2 linked regions of the Oryzias latipes genome follow. The protein of the gene in region 2 interacts with the protein of the main gene of each other region in a pairwise test. Links are inferred from orthologs where the notes say so. Each region holds a gene or a part of one and is shown on either strand. Other genes may lie near its edges.

The links. The genes of interacting proteins can lie anywhere in the genome.
Region 1: the proteins of spg21 (region 2) and s100b interact in binary tests that used the Homo sapiens proteins (3 or more experiments, as listed by UniProt). The two-hybrid records come from large-scale screens. The link is inferred for Oryzias latipes from reciprocal best matches to the Homo sapiens genes SPG21 and S100B.

Annotation. Positions count from the first base shown.
Region 1 is NC_019860.2:3,716,122-3,718,607, forward strand, and holds s100b (protein S100-B), read left to right. Parts: upstream 1-1,019; 5' UTR 1,020-1,106; exon of another isoform or gene 1,107-1,142; intron 1,143-1,233; 5' UTR 1,234-1,258; coding exon 1,259-1,396; intron 1,397-1,489; coding exon 1,490-1,636; 3' UTR 1,637-1,953; downstream 1,954-2,486. UniProt on the Homo sapiens protein: Small zinc- and- and calcium-binding protein that is highly expressed in astrocytes and constitutes one of the most abundant soluble proteins in brain.
Region 2 is NC_019861.2:37,280,999-37,284,755, reverse strand, and holds the start of spg21 (maspardin), read left to right. Parts: upstream 1-1,428; 5' UTR 1,429-1,562; intron 1,563-1,728; coding exon 1,729-1,791; intron 1,792-3,757. UniProt on the Homo sapiens protein: May play a role as a negative regulatory factor in CD4-dependent T-cell activation.

The sequences.
Region 1 (2,486 bases), on a different chromosome or scaffold from region 2:
GTCGCATCTGGGTATAAGTGGTACATGCGAATAAGTTGCACCTGGGAATGTGTTGCACCCAAGTATAAGTTGCATCTCCATATAAGTTGCATCTCCATATAAGTGGCACATGAGTATAGGTGCACTTGCATATAAGTTGCAACCGGCACATAAGTTACTCCTGCATATAAGTAGTACCTGCATATAAGTCCCACCTGTGTATAAGTGCAGTTGCACATAAATTGCACCTGCGTATAAGTCACACCTGGATATAAGTTGCACCTTTGTATAAGTCGAATCTATGTATAAGTCGCACCTGTGTATAAGTGCACTTGCATATATATTGAACCTGCGTATAAGTTGCACCTAGGTATGAGTAGCACCTGCGTATAAGTTACTCCTGCATATAAGTAACACATGCATATTGGTCGCACCTGAGAATAAGTAACACCTGCATATAATTTACACCTGAGGATAAGTAACACATGGATATAAGTTGCATATAAGTTGCACCTGCACATAAGTTACTCCTGCATATAAGTCGCACCTGAATATAAGTAACACCTGTGTATAAGTGCAGTTGCACATAAATTGCACCTGTGTATAAGTCGCTCCTGAGAATAAGTAACACCTGCATATAAGTTGCACCTGTGTATGAGTCGTACCCCATTCAAACCATAAAAACATTTAAAGAAGAAACTCAGAAAAATAGGGTAATCTATCAATTATTCTTTTTAAAAAACAAATTTTTATCATTTAACGCTACACAATACTTTTATGGAACATGTTTAGGATTACCAGCTTTATATTTGACAGTGAAAAGCATCCTAAACAACAACAAGAACAAAAACTCTCCTGCTTTTTTTGTGGGTTTTTCTTTTAGCTGCTTTTAATCCAAATACTTTAATTTCACCGGTAATTTAGACGTAATGGGAAGTCATGATGTGCACAATTGAAACCCAGCTGAGTCAGGGTGTGCAGTGGAGTGAGGGGAGGGGGAACTGATTTGATTGGCCTGTAGTTTTGACCGACAGCTGGCATCTCCGCCTCTGTGCAGCTGCGCCTTAAAGCCCAGAGCCCATCCTTGGCTGCTGCTTTCTGGATAATCCGCCTGCAGCTGCTCAACGGTAAAACGGTCTGTCAGATGTTTGATGCTTTGTCTGGTTGGTGTTGTGTTAAGGGAATCGACTCATTTCGATGTGTTTGTCCAACTTTGAGTTGATCAATCATGTCACCTTTCTTTTGAAAATTGAGTTTGGTCAGAGAAACGGGTGAGGAGATGACTGACCTGGAGACGTCGATGGCGACCATCATCGCTGTGTTTCAGAAGTACTCGGAGAGAGAAGGAGACAAGCACAAGTTGAAGAAGAGCGAGCTGAGGGAGCTGCTTCACGACGAGCTGCCGGAGCTGATGGCGGTGGGTGAGCGGCGGAAGGTTTGGCTTCACATTCGACTCACCCGAGCGGCCGCAGTGAAGCCGTCCCTCTCCTTTCCTCCCCCCCCCTTGCAGCACGTCAAAGACCAGGCCACGCTGGACAGCCTGATGGAGAGCCTGGACACGGACGGCGACGCCGAGTGCAACTTCCAGGAGTTCATGACATTTGTCTCCCTGGTGACCGTCTGTTGCCATGAGTTCTTTGAGCATGAGGACGACTGAGGACACAAAGGGGTTGGCAGGGAACCTGAAGGAACTCTGTGATGCGGCTGCTGGCACAAATCCACCCCATAGTTTCCACTAAGTGGTGATGAAGTTAGAAAATAGCCAATCTGAAGGTAGGCTAGTGAAAGTACCGATTTTAGACAACCTATTTTTGTTTTTTTCTTTCTGTTAAAGTCAGTCAGACTGGAAGATTCGTAAAAAAAAATGCTTTTCTTTGTAGTGATTTTGAAAGCACTTTCTCTGTCTAAGTTTAGGGTGGAGCCTTTCTAATGATAAACTTTTGCTCTGAATCAAATAAAGAACATTTCAAAATAGTCAGTTGTGTTTGCCTATATTCTACTATGGATTATTTATTCCTAATTTAACTCCAGATTTGACATAAAACTGTCAAGTGGCTGGTTCTTAATCCATCTAAGCACTTGTGTTTACGGTTTTACGACACATTTTAGACTTCAAAAAATACTTTTTAGTAAAGCTTTTTTTTTTTTTTTTTTTGCAATATACAGTTTGGTTTTCCTTTTATTATCGGATTTGCAAAGTAAGAATAACGAAGACATTTGCAGAAAAATGTTGTGTTCATGAAATTTTTGATCTTTTAAGATTAAAAAAAGGATTTAAGAATGATGCACTATAAAAAAAATATGGTAAAAAAATCATATGTTCTACATAATATGAAATCTCAAGTTTTTATTTTTGAATCTTTAAATTTGGGCAAAAGTCATAAAATTGTTGGAATTTTAGCACTAACTTGTGATTGTGAAAATAAAAATTTCTTATTAAACTAATTATTTAATCCTACCTGAGCCAAAACAAACTGGATCTAAAAGATCATATAATGAACAAAATT
Region 2 (3,757 bases):
ACGTTCATCCAAATGTGCATTTATACCTTTAGGGAAAAGTAGAAATACACGACTTGTGTATTTCTACATCTGTTGGTACTTTTTTTTTTTACTTTAAATTGTGTGATGTGGGCGGGGCTTTTCATATTCTGAGCAGGGATTGGTTAGTGGGATTTTCTGCTCTCTGTGATTCTGTACGTTTGATACTTTCCAGGAGACTCAAACGTGTTCTAGACTAACCACAGTGGGTCTGGGCTCTGGCCCCGCCCCCTCACTAAGGTTTTGACCTTTGGACATTGGTGAATGAGTTCAAATGCGTCCATCCTTCAGACCTTCAGCAGTGCAGAACGCTGCTGCACAGGACCGTTCTGCATGTGTCGGATGGGAGATTCCAACGTCTTAAAGCACTTCTTCTGTCTTCTGGAGCTTTCACTGCCAAAACGTTTGTCATTGAGACGCTGATGTGCCTGGAAGAGAATCTGATGCAGCTTCTTCCCTTAATGTGTCCTTAAGTCTGTTTGGGGCTCCAGGACTTCCCTCAACTTTATAAAGTTTGGTAAAAAAATCATTTCTACTGTTGTCTTTTTGTGGTTTTCCTCCTTTTTATCTTCATTATCAAACGTTTGTTAAACAGCTAAACAGTTTAGGGTAAATAAATTCACTTTGGGGTTACGCTCATGTTTCACAAGCTTTAAAGCTGCCTTTAAGTTCCAAATGGGAAGAAAACATTTCCAATAAACTGACCTTCACAGTGGGGACGACCTGAGGAAGCAGTTTAAACCTTCCATAACTGATCTTCTCTGCGTCACGTCAGACACACTTGGAGGTGGTTAAACGATTTCAGATGAAGCTTTTAAAGAAACAGCTGGAGAACCGATGGGGGCCAAAGTCTGAACGACACACCAACACCGCTCTGGGAAACGGAACCAATCTACACATCTTGTCATTTCAGTTTCCTGTCCAGGTTAAACCACAAAAAAATGAGAACAGACAGGATTTCAATGAAAGACTGATCCACACTGAAGATGTAAATTATTCCATTTTACTTGTATGAATTGTAATTTCAGAACAATTTACGAACAAAAACGCATTTCATTCAAGAATTAAGTTTGTTTTAGAAAGTTTTTCATCCAAATATTTTGATGACTGAAGTTAAAATTATGAGAAGAATTACCTTGAGGTTTGACCGATGCGTTTGAGAAAAACGGGGATTCGGAGATTCGTTGGGTTTTGTGTGGAAAGAATCTCGAGTCTGTAATGTCTTCTTACATTTCTATTGATTCCATATTCAGACAAACATTGAATACATTTGAGTGCTACATTGTATAGGATGAAAACTGTAACGACAACAGAAATTAAGCAAGACTTAAGAAACCAAAGCGGCTTTCTTACTGCCGGAGAACAGGATTTTCAGAGCGACCGCGAACGCAGCACCGGAGAGGCTACTTGCGGAAGTGTGTGAAAGGAAAATCACATGACCGAGCTGCAGCCGCTCCAAGCGCTACCCGACATGGACAAACGTCTCCGGACACGGTGACCCTTCACCGAGCAGCGGCGTGGGCTCTGACACGGTGACGTCCACGGTGAGTGGGGCTGGCGGGGCGGTCGGTTTCTACGCCGTTAACGGGGTTACCGCGGGGTTCGTTTAGCAGCTAGCCGCTATTATGGCTAACAGCTGCCCCCGCGCGGAAGCAGCTGAGCCCGGACACCCCCGCACACACACTTGAGTCACCGTCTCTGTGTCCGCAGATGGAGGAGATCAAGGTGTCTCCAGACTACAACTGGTTCCGAAGCACCGTGCCACTTAAGAGGGTAAGTTCCCGCCTCGTCACGCGCCTCACTCCGGAGCAGCTGGACCGTCGCCGATGCGATGAGGGCTAACGCTCGCGCGCGTTGAAATTCTTATGAAACACCTGCTCTCGTGGTCACGTGATACAAAAGCACCCCAGGTGTGAAGGGGTCCATTCCGTGACGGGTCATCGGGATTCTGTCCTGCTGGATCAACCTTCAGGTTCTGATGAGCCGAACCTGTTCAGAACCGAGCTTCAGGACAAACACAGCTGAACTCCTTAAACCCAGAGAGGTTATTTTTCTGAAACTACATGCACACCGTTCAGACCAGGTGTTCACACTGCGCCTGCAGGGAGGGGCTTCTTCTTCTTCTTCTTCTGTTTACTAGCCTCAACCTACAGTCGGAGGAGGCTTGCTGTGAAATGTCCTCCAGACTTTTGTGACTGACTCTGTCGTAGAATTCGGTTGGTTCTGTAAATGAACCCTTTAATCGCCGTGGCTTTAGCGCCCGTGTTCTTTACCGTACCTGGTTTTAAAGCCCTCCTATTCAAAGGTTGAGGATTACTTTATATGGAAATGAGGGCGTGGTCTTTAAGCTGACAGGTGGTGGTAGTATCATGGTCTCTAAAGCACACGTTAGCTTGTCACGCTGTCTAAGAAACGTTTTACAAATGTTATGCACTAATACTTGATCTTGTGACCTGCTTCCCTTCTGTTCAATAAAATCACCATGAAAACAGTTGACAAACAACAAAATAAGACCAAGAACGCACTGCTTAGACCACGCCCCTTCGCCATTACGTGTTTTCATTTTGTCCCTTCTGTCTCACCTGTTTCCTGTATTCACTTTTTAAACTGGTTTATGGTTTTTCTGGAGAACCACAGTTTGGAAAAATGAAGCTCCGCTCAAACAGATGTTTGATAAAATCATAAAGTTTTTATGATTTTGCTCAAATGTTGTCTTTTTTCAAATTTTATTTACATTCAGATTGTTGTAAACATTGTTTTTGTGGTTAGTGAATATAGTAGGAAGACTCTGCATCTCATTCCACAGCAGAAAAAAAAGGTTTTACCTTGGAAAAAGGAAGCTTGGAGCCTGACAGCTGTGTTTCTATTTTAGTCTAAGAAAATATCACAACGTTTTCTGCTAAAGATGTTTAATTTAAACCTCACAAATCCCCTCATGAGTGTCAGGCGTCTCTGCATTTAGTTTGTTAGGTTTTTTTCAAGATTTGTGGTCAATTATTGCTTAAACAATCGTTCTGATTGCTTTAGTTCATGACTTTTGTGTTGAGTTCTGCGTGAAAATGAGAAATCTGAGGCTGGATTTCAGCGGCACGGATCGCCCTCTTGGATTAAGATGAGATTAGCTTTCAGAAAACGGGTTTGGTCCTCGGATCTGCTGTTTGGTGGAACAACGGCTCGCGTTGTCTTTTGGAATAAGACGATTATTCCCGTCGGGTTTTTAGCTCACAGATCTCTTAAAAATGGGGATTTGTTTGGCGTTGGAGCCGACACCCGGCTGGTTCCCGCAGCTGGAGGTTGAGCCGCTGCTGCTGAGGCTCTGAGAGGTGGAGAGTCATGTGACGGCGTTCATCACCCAGCCGTCACATGCTTCCCTCAGCTTCACACGGGCATCACATGTGCTGCTTTTACTGGCACGAATCCACTCGTTTTCCCTCTGCTCACTCATGCACTTCAGGAGAGATGCATTCTGGGACAGAGAGGTTGAGTGACTGATGCAGGTCAGCTTCTGGCAGCACGGCTTAAAACCCCCCAGACAAGTTTGATCTGAAGGATTTAAGATTTTCAGAAAAACCTCTCTGCAGATTCTTTTGTTACCACTGACTGTATACCGGAACTGGACGGAGGGGCCCCTCCCCTTTGCTACAAACAGGAAGTATCTGCAAATCAACAGCTGTCATTCTGTTGGTCAGAAGAACCGTTCTGGATCGGATACCTTTTTGTTTTTAAACATCTACTTGAT